2 linked regions of the Ovis aries genome follow. The protein of the gene in region 1 purifies or fractionates together with the protein of each later gene. This does not show direct contact. Links are inferred from orthologs where the notes say so. Each region holds a gene or a part of one and is shown in the gene's direction. Other genes may lie near its edges.

The links. The genes of interacting proteins can lie anywhere in the genome.
Region 2: the proteins of CDK14 (region 1) and CCNY purify together in Homo sapiens (affinity purification with western blotting; 3 studies listed by BioGRID and IntAct, with this or other methods). This does not show direct contact. The link is inferred for Ovis aries from reciprocal best matches to the Homo sapiens genes CDK14 and CCNY.

What each region holds. Positions count from the first base shown.
Region 1 is NC_056057.1:8,880,188-8,885,528, forward strand, and holds part of CDK14 (cyclin-dependent kinase 14), read left to right. Parts: intron 1-2,305; coding exon 2,306-2,554; intron 2,555-5,341. UniProt on the Homo sapiens protein: Serine/threonine-protein kinase involved in the control of the eukaryotic cell cycle, whose activity is controlled by an associated cyclin.
Region 2 is NC_056066.1:17,428,376-17,433,716, reverse strand, and holds part of CCNY (cyclin-Y), read left to right. Parts: intron 1-2,346; coding exon 2,347-2,513; intron 2,514-5,341. UniProt on the Homo sapiens protein: Positive regulatory subunit of the cyclin-dependent kinases CDK14/PFTK1 and CDK16.

The sequences.
Region 1 (5,341 bases):
ACCACTGAACCACCAGAGTGATCCCTTAAAGGTGTACTCTGACTACTTTGAGACTTTTTTTTTCCTGCTCAATGCATTTACTATTATAAATTTTCCTACAGTTAAAATGCTATTTGAGCTGTATCTATTTTGATATTCTGTTCAAGAGATTTTATTCAACTAATTCAAGAGACTTTCTAATTCCCCTATTGTTTAGTTTCCAAATATTTCCTGTCTTCTCTTTTAAAGTACTTTTTTCCCTCTGCCCCCTTTTTAAGATACTCTCTTTTTTACTGGTTTTAAGCAATTTGATTTTGATGTACCTTCGTGCTATTTTCTCTAGATTTCTTATATTTAGAGTTCATTGACTTCTCAGGTTCATGTGTTTTTATGTTGCAGTTCAGCTGCCTCGGGGAGACGAGTGGTTTCATATCCATATCACATCTACTGTTTCTTGCTTTCATATCTGTATGAGGAACACATGAACTCTTAAAAAAAACTGAATGCGTTTAATATTGTGATAAATCGTTAGTTCTTGATCAGGAGGACTCTGCCTTGTCTTTTAAAGACATCTTCAGCAGTTTTGTGATACTGTAAAAAGTGGGTTGATCTCCTTCTTATTGGATTTAATTAAAATTGAACCTATGCTTGGTAGTTCAGATACACTCATAGGACAGAGTTGATACTTAGTATTTAATCCAAATTTTGCTTCAATAACTTGAAATAATTTAATTATACACTTTACTATTTTCAAAAAATTGCATGTCAAGCATGTTTATTATACAGTTCAAAAAATACAGGGGTATGTAAAAAGTAAGTAATCTTACCCTTTGCCCCTTCAGTTCTGCTTATCTGGAGGTATCTTAACACTTTGGTGTATTTCCTTGTATACCTTTATATTAATATGTGCTCATACACACACATACAAATAGCTCTATCTGTCATATATATATATGTATGTATGTATATATATATATATATTTTTATATCCATACACATAGTTTCATTTCTTGCCAGTATGGAATCATCCCATATGTATTACTCAGACACTTAAATGTTTGCTTTAACAATATGAGATTTTCTTAGATACCGTCTGTTTTCCTGCTTTCTTAAATAGGAATGTGGAAACTTTTCACAAGAAGAAAAAATAAAACTTTAAAAGCAAATCAGAGGTATCTTTTCTTTAGACTGCATGATAAAGTTACCTTACTTTACGGACAAGCTAGAGGCCATGAAGTTACTAAGTAAAAATGTCTTGAGAATATATGGAGAATGAGAGAGCTGGAACATACAGTGGAAAGCAAGGAGCAAAAATCAGAGAGACTAAAATAAAGCAAGACTCGTTCAGATTATGCTGGAAGAGAATGAGCAAAATTGAGAAGGAAGTAGGGGTGTAGTGAAGTAATACATACAGCATTTTGAAATGAGTGTCATTCCGTGTTTTTCTACGTGGTATTATTTTTCGTTTTCATCTGTTAGTTTTAGTATTAGAAACAACATTGCTTTCACCTTTCAGTATCTCTAACCGTTAGCCCTTTTATATGCTCCATTCTAGTTTAGAGATGAAATCAAGATGGGGATAGATTTTAAACATGTATTCAAGCTTTAAGGTTTTGAAGAACATAGTGATGTTTTCCTGTAGCCATGTTAGTTGCTTCTGGGATGGCCCATCAATGAAAATGCCCTTCTGAATTAATTGAACCGATTTTTTAAAAAAAAATTAAGGCAAATTATCCATCTTTTAGTGATTCGGAAATATCCCACTTGCAGTCAGGTGGTAAAATAAATGACAAGGTCGAGAACCACCTCAGGGCACTAGCAGCCTGGGTGCTAAGCTTCCTGTTTTAGGGATAACGTTTTCAGTGTCAGCCCTCAGTGAATATAATTATAATATAATATAATTATAATATAATATAGCGAAGTGTTAGTTGCTCAGTCTGTCCGACCGACTCTTTGTGACCCGGCCAGGCTCCTCTGTCCGTGGATTTCTCCAGGCAAGAATACTGGAGTAGGTAGCCATTCCCTTCTCTAGGGGATCTTCCCAACCCAAAGATTGAACCTGGGTCTCCTGCATTGCAGGCAGATTCTTTACCATCTGAGCCACCAGGGAAGCCCCCAGCAAGTATGGTAAGTGGAATGATGGTGACGAGTTTTTCATATTGTGGTTTAAGCTGGTGTAGCTTTTAGAATATAGCCTTTGGGGTTATTTCCTGAGATAAAAATGGGCATGCTTTGTAAGATAATAAATCCTCATGTGTAGTGATATTAAAGTTTCAGTGGAGTGATCTGAGTTTAATTTCTCTCTCTCTCTCTTTTTTTCCGCCAGATATGTGTCACAAAGATGTCCACACGAAACTGCCCAGGAATGGACTCAGTGATCAAACCCCTGGACACAATTCCTGAGGATAAGAAAGTCAGGGTTCAGAGGACACAGAGCACTTTTGACCCATTTGAGAAACCCGCTAATCAAGTGAAGAGGGTGCATTCTGAGAACAATGCTTGCATTAACTTTAATAAGAGCTCCTCCGCTGGCAAAGAGTCTCCTAAAGTTCGGCGGCACTCCAGCCCCAGCTCGGTGAGTGCGATCTTCTCACTTACTAACGGGTGAGCAGAGCAAGTGGGACAATGTGCAGGGAGCCAGCAGGTGGCTTTATCAGTGCCTTATTATGCATTCTCTCCTTAGGTGGTTCAGCGTTTTCTGGAAGAGAGTGTGCAGGCCTGCGCAAGTGCCAACTACATATACAAACTCTTGATTCACAGGCACCCAGCAAGCCAGTGAGAAATGATTAAACTTATTTTGGGGAAAAATTTTTTTTTCCCCTAGCTGTTTCCAGTTAGAGGAATTTGTCATTTAAACTCCTTGGGTAATTCAAACTCTTGGAGAGGATTTTCAAACTTTACTGTGTTGGCAGGCAGTAAGGATAGTTTTGAATTTGACAGATTCACAAAGAATTTCATTTCAGAATACTTGTTAAAAGTTGTTCACTTGTCTTATTACAGTTGGTTTTTGTTGTCAATATTTTTAAAATTAGGAGCTAGACATTGAAATTGATCTTATAAAGAGAAATCTTATTCATCACAAGGAAATTTTCTGAGGTCAAACTGTATTAAAGCAAGTCTTGCCTTTGGGCCGAAGAAGGTATAAAGTTTGAGATGATCGCTGCTTTTTGACTGTAAAGAATTTTATTGAAACTCATCTTTCCAAGACTGGCCTGCGTTTAACATTGTTAAAAAAAAAAATAAGCCTTATGATCTTTGGAAATTCAGTAATTTTCAGATTTAACCCACACTGAAGAACTTTATGACATAGTCTAAGAATTTAAAGGGTGAGAGAAGAGTGCTAAGAGAGTTTTGATTCTGTCATCTTGCTAAGAAGCATATTCCATTTCGTAGACTTTAAATATTAAATTCCATGATGGTCAAAAAAGAGCAAGAAATGTCAGCTGCTAGAATATTGACGCTTCAATTTAAGTAAAGTGTGGGATACCACGAAAATCTTGTGTCACAGGTTTTTTTGTTGTTGTTGTTGTTAATGAAGTGAAAATAAATATTGTTAATGCAGCCTTTTTGAGGAGAATTGATTATCTGGGTTTCCCCGGATTGGTCCCTATAATCTTATCCATGATTGCAGTGTAGTGTCTGTCTAGGTCACACATAAACAACACTAACACTTGGGAAAACTTTTAGATTTAGTATCATTTAGAAGAAATGAAAAGAGAATCTTTGAGAATGATTAAACTTCTCTTATGGCAAGAGAATTATATATATATTTTACTACAGATATTATTTGTTCAGTTGTGTCAGATTCTGTGTGGCCCCATGGACTGTAGCCTGCCAGGCTCCTCTGTCCATGGAATTCTCCAGACAAGAATACTGGAGTGAGTAGCCATTTCTTTCTGCAGGGGATCTTCCCGACCCAGGAATCAAGCCTAGGTCTCTTGCATTGCAAGCAGATTCCTTACTACCTGAGCCATCAGGGAAGCCCATTTTACTGTATAGTCATCTCAATAATGTTAATTGTCACCCTACATGATATATAGAAATGGGCATTGAGATATTGCAATGAGGCAAACTTATTCACTGTTTATATGAAAATCAAATTAAACTAGTTATTCTGTGTTTTATCTTCAATCCTAGTTATTGTCCAATCGTGCATTATTTCTTTTCTTGCTCAGATTGTTGCTGCTTTAGTCATTGGTCATTGGGAGCTCTTTTAGGTTGGCCCCTGTGTCCTTTTGAGATGTCTCATTCCCCTTTTAATTGTTGAAATGTTTATTATTTACTTACTTATTTTTGATTGAAGGATGACTGCTTTACAGTATTGTGCTGGTTTCTGCCATACATCAACATGAATCAGCCTTTGATACACTATGTCCCACCTCTTGAGCCTCCCTCCCACCTCCCACCCCATCCCACCCCTCTGGGTTGTCACAGAGCCCTGGCTTTGAGTTCCCTGTGTCGCACAGCAAATCCCCACTGGCTGTCTGCTTTACATATGGCAATGTTTGTGTTTCAATGCTGCTCTCAATTTGTCCCATATACCTTTTCAAAAAATATTAAAAAAATTTTTTTTTAATATTAAAAACATTTTTTATTATTTTTAGTTGATTGGTGATTAGTTTACAATATTGGTTGATTTCTGTCATACATCAGCATGAATTAGCCATAGGTGTGCATGTGTCCCCTCCCTCTTGAATCCCCTTCCCACCCCTCTAGGTTATTACTGAGCCTCAGTTTGAGTTACTTCAGTCATATTGCAAATTCCCATGGGCTGAAAAAGACACATGTACCCCAGTATGCATTGCAGCACTGTTTACAGTAGCCAAGACATGGAAGCAAGCTAGACGTCCATCGACAGGTGAATAGATAAAGAAGCTGTATAGTTATAATGGGATACTACTCAGCCATAAAAAGGAATGCATTTGAGTCAATTCTAACGAGGTGGATGAACCTAGAGCCTATTATGCGGAGTGTTTTTGAAGCACTTCCGTACTTTCTTGTCCTACAAGTTGCTCTTGGCTTATCTTGTATTTTCCCAGCCCCAGACCCAGATTCAGCCATTTCTCCAGAGAGCCCTGTTTCCTTTTACTGAAGCATAGTATTTAGAAACCAGGATTGGGTGTTGGGTGTGTTTGCTGCTACTAGGGGTCATATAACCTTAAAAGTCAATGTGTACATCATAGTATAAATAACAATGGGGGGATTTTGATATTTAATTGTGATTTGAAATAAGGGATTTGCTAAAATTCTTTTCAAGGAAAGTTGAGACTTGTCTGATATATTCCGCATTTCTCTTTCTTTCTTTTTTTGTTGTTGCTATTGTTCAGTCAGTAAGTCTTGTCCAACTCTGCGACCCCATGAA
Region 2 (5,341 bases), on another chromosome or scaffold:
AGAAAAAAATCAATCGTATATTATTTTACTTGGCAGAAAATTAAAATACCCAAGTGGGAGTTTACTAAAGAAATTACAGCTGACCCTTGAATATAGCTTTCTTGGCAAGTTCTGCCAAATTACATGCTATTATGTGGTGCTTATTATGAATTCCTCCTCCCCAAACATAACATCTGCTTCCCCTCGGTAATGGAGTGTGTTATCATATCTAATTCATCTAATTCTCTAGTTCATCTTAGTGGAATATCAGATGTGGTAGATGCCTGGTTTTTTCCAAACATTATCTTAAATGTTAAGATACCTGTTAACTGGAGAAGGAAATGGCAACCTGCTCCAGTGTTCTTGCCTGGAGAATCCCAGGGACGGCGGAGCCTGGTGGGCTGCTGTCCATGGGGTCACACAGAGTCGGACATGACTGAAGTGACTTAGCAGCAGCAGCAGCAGTGTACCTATTAATATCTATCTACTGTGGTTAAGTAAGAACAAAATTGAATAACCTTCTTTTTGTACTGAGTCAGTGAGAAGCTATTTCATTGGGGAGCTTGGAGAGGTTTACATAGCTCATTTATAAAAAGGAATAGCGTCTAAGGGGGAGAAGGCAATGGCACCCCACTCCAGTACTCTTGCCTGGAAAATCCCATGGACGGAGGAGCCTGCTAGGCTGCAGTCCATGGGGTTGCGAAGAGTCGGACATGACTGAGCGATTTCACTTTCACTTTTTACTTTCATGCATTGGAGAAGGAAATGGCAACCCACTCCAGTGTTCTTGCCTGGAAAATCCCAGGGATGGCAGAGCCTGGTGGGCTGCCATCTATGGGGTCGCACAGAGTCGGACATGACTGAAGCGACGCAGCAGCAGCAGCAGCAGCAGCAGCAGCATCTTAGGGATCTGGTTGAAGAGTGTCCATAATGATTGCTTCAAAAAATCTGGAGTTAGATCCAGCCTCAGTTTTCTACTCTTAGTACAGTTTTGTGGCACATTTAAAAAATTCTTTTCTTAGTGGAATGAGAAGAGTTGGTCATCAAACTTTGTAACATACATAGTCTGGGCTCCTGAGGTTGGTGTCCAGTTAAAATTCCACTCAGCCTGGCCTGGATCTCTCGCTGAAGAATTTCAGTTTTCACACAGAAATAATGATCTAAAACATGAGCTTACTCTTCCTGCTCCTTGAATGTAATAAATGCCATTAAAGCTAAAACCTGAACAACGGAAAAGATGATTGAAGTCTGCTGAGTGACCTACTTTTCTTCACCAGTGGTTGTCTTAGCCCGGTGCTGTTCTGTCCGAGAGACGTTTGGAAGTGCCCCAAAGGTCCATAGAGTACGGTTGGCGGGCACGTGTCGTGACCTCAGAGGCCTCTCTGAAGGCCTCTCAGATGTTCTGTGCTGAGCACCGCAGAGTGGGCTCTTCCCTGAGTGGTCTCCTCTGACCCCCTATTCCCCCACACCTGTCTCTCAATCCAGGGCCTGAGTTTCCCGACTGCGGCTCTTCCTGAATGCCGTTGCTGTGGTCATCTCATCCACTCAGGCCTCCCTAGACCTGCTCTCTCGTAGCCACATTCCACACCCAGAGCGTCCTTCCTTCAGGGTCCTGTGTCCCTGAGGCCAGCACGCGGGGGCCGCTCCCTGACCCAGCCCAGGGCTGGATGCTGGGCACACGGTGGGAGTGAGGCCCGGGCGTGGTCCTCAGGGGACTTGGCTTCCTCGGGGGAGACAGTGGAGGAGGGCAGCTGCCCAGCCCGGGGAGAGACGCAGCCACGGTGGCGGGGCTGGGTCACCGGTCCAGGGTGAGGCAGTAAGGTGGACGTGATGGCTTCCTGTTTCATCACCTCTCAGGAAACTTAGGGCCTCTTGGCAGCTCATTGGGTATGGCTGTTTTGTCCTTGTGATTACATTAGTAATTTCTTTCTCATGATTTGTATGTTGTCTTTCATACTGTGCCCCTCATCCAGTCTGAGGAGGACCTGGTATCTGAGATCAGCCATAAAAATCCTGCTTCTTAAGATGGAAAGAATTGACTTTTCTTTAGTAAAGCAATGGAAGCAGAACAAAAACCTTTTAAGCAAAAGAACCATCATCACTCGTCTGTTTACTGACTTAGCAGACAGTTGAGTGCCGGCCCCCATCTCGAGGCAGAGAGCTCCTGTTTGGGTGGCAGAGGCAGACAGGTGCTGGCCCCAGTCAGCCTCCCTGGGGCTCCCCACCTGGGCCCCGGTTCACAGACCGCAGGCCGCACAGACGGGCTGCCGAGCCCATCGGGGCTGCTGCGGCTTGGGAGGGAGCCCCTGACTCTCCCTCTGCCTGTGGCTTAGGCATGAAGGGCGCCGGTGTGCTCGTGTCTTCCAGGTGTACCTCGAACGGCTTCTCACATACGCAGAGATTGACATCTGTCCGGCCAACTGGAAGCGGATTGTTCTGGGGGCCATCCTGCTGGCCTCCAAGGTGTGGGACGACCAGGCGGTGTGGAACGTGGACTACTGCCAGATCCTGAAGGACATAACGGTGGAGGATATGTGAGTGTGGGCGGGGGCATCCCCGCGTGGACGAGCTCGGGGTGGAGTGAGGGACGGTGGCTGTGCGTCTGTTGTAAGCTGGCCGAGCAAGGACACGGTTGCGGATAGGATTTACAAAAACCTATGCGTCTCGTCCTTTGGGTGCCAGACAGGTACTGGTAACGCTTTCTGGCTTGTGAATCTAGTCTCTGAAACCATGTTCCAGGGAACCTTGCTTTACTTTCCTGCTTCCCGTCTGCGGTGGGGTTCATCCCCACTACTCACTGCAGACTGACAACAGGCAGCAGACTGGCTAAAGTGCTCCCTGCCGCTGCTCAGTTCCAGAGGAGATTGTCACTGTTTCTGTCTCCTGTTGCAAGTTCACTTGGCTTCACATGTACTTTCTGTCCCTCAGGGTCCTCCTGTGTTTCCCGGTCAGGCCGCTTCTCTCTCAGGGCACCGTTCTGGGTTCACCTGCAGCCCGGGGCCTGGGGTCCCTGGGGCTGGGTGTTCAGGAAGTGGGGTCAGGACGAAAGGAGCTGCTTTGGGAACAGTCAGGATGAACTTCTGCATCGCTGACCCAATTCTTACTGACGTTTTTCTCATCTTTTTGTCCAGCTTCCTCAAGCCGGACAACCTCCTCCTGCTAGAGGAGGTTCCACTGTGTCCCAGCCGCCATCTGTGTCCCTGGGCCCCACCTGCCCCTTCCTCTGGTTGCTGGCGGGCTGGGCATCCCCTCGCCTTTGTCTGCCCTGGGGACACTTGTTTATGTTCATGCATCTCTTGCCACAGAGCCTTTTCCTCCTACAGACCAGTAAGACTCTCTCCTGCGCCTGTTATTCTTTATCCTTCAAAAGTAAGAAAAATACGAAGTTTTTGATAGCAAGAATAAGAAAATTAAATTTTTTTTAAGTCTTGATTTTATTTCAAGCTGAAAACAGTTATTAAGAGAATTGTCATACAGACCTTAAGTTGGTCCCTTCCACCTTTTGGCTGCTGTGAATAACTCTGCTGTAAACGTGAACATCACTGTGCAGATTCCTCCCTGAGGCCCTACTCTTTGGAGTCTGTGCCCAGGAGTGGGATTGCCGCTTAGTAGCTGGTGTTTAAAAGTAGGCTCATTTTTCTAGAAAAGTCAATAGGCCATGAGGTGATGAAACAACTCTTTCTTCCATTGTAGAGCCCCATTCACAAGTTGCTAAGTGGCATCAATTCACCTGGGTTTCTTTACAGTAATGACCTAATGTAACTAATACTTCTGAAATGTTTTTATTTATTGGCTTGAATTTACTTATTATAAAATTTTACATCAGAACTATTTACTGGTAATTAGGCTTCCCAGGTGGTGCTAATGGTAAAGAATCCACCTGGCAGTGCAGGAGATGAAAGAGACTCAGGTTCGATGTCCTGGGCAAGATTTCCTGGAGAAGGAAATGGCAACCCACTCTAGTATTCTTACCTGGAGAATCCCATAGACAAGGAGCCAGGCGGGCTAAAGTTCATGGGGATGCAAAGAGTCAGACATGATGATTTATCATATAACAAGCTGTCAGATGTCCCTGGAGGGGGTACTGCTATCGTTTGGAAATTCAAATTTGGGGGATTATTTTTATTTTCTAGGTATTACCCTAGTTTGAAAACACAGCCACTCTAAAATCTTTATTTCCCCCAAAACTTAAACAGAAACATTAAAAAATAAATATTCAGGAAGGCTGTTTTTCCTCTAAGGAACCTGGGGAAACTGCCATCTTGTTTGAAACCAGATTCCTCTCGACTTCAATCCTGGTTATACCCTCAACAAAAGGCAGTGGTGTCTAGATAACCGTCTGGGGTGGGAATAGCTTCTCTGGCTCTCTTACTGGTGTTTCTTCCTGGCATTGGAGAATGGGAGCTGCAGTGTCACCACGTGGCCACTAGGTGGCAGTGTGTCCACAGGCAGCTCACAAGTCTTGTTAAGCCCTTACCTGGATTCTTGAATTTCACAGGATGATCTCCTAAGTCTGACTTAGAGCAGGCATAAATAAAAGTGATTAGAAGAGTAGATTTTGACATCACATATACATTTGGGGCTTAATTCCTTTCTCAAAGCTGCATGGAAGCAGCCCTTCTGATTAGATGAACTGAATTAAATGTCTTGATCTTTCCCTCCAAAGCGCTCAGGCCTTCGATAACAACTTGCTAAGGTTTCTTAGCTATCTTTTGCCTGAGAGCTGCTGTCAGGGAACCAGCCACTACCGCCTCCCAGACTTAGCTCAGCTGTCACTTCCAGGAAGCTTTCCCTGATCCCTCCACTCAGGCTAATCTTGGTCCACTCCATTCAATAATTAATAACAGTAATTATTGAGCACCAGCTGTGTGTCAGGTGCTGTGCTGGGGCCAGGCTGCAGTCAGATGTCACGGATTATGGCTCGGAGGAGGGGAGGAGGGGAGACTGTGATAAACGACAGAAGTGAGTCCAGGGTGCTGCCCGGAGGGTGGCCTAGAGCTGAGAGTCTGGCCCAGGACCAGTGCTGACAGACAGACCTCTCCCTGAGAATGCTTCTCCCCCACCACTGACTGCTAAGAGCTGGGCCTGCTGATGGGGGACGTTTTACAATGTGTTCTGGCTTCATCCAGCTAGAAGGGGGTTGGCTCCTTTATGAATCAGGAGCTGTTATCCAAGTTTTCGGCAGGAAGGAAGACTCAGCAGCAGGAGCGTACTAGAGATGCATGTTCTTGGGCCCACCTAGACCTGTCAAATCATATGAGTGGCCCAGCTGTGGGTCCTCACAGACCCTGCAGGTGATGGGTTAGGCTTAGGGTTAGGGTGGCTGGGTGGGTGCATGCTGAGACTGGTGGTCTCCTCCCTC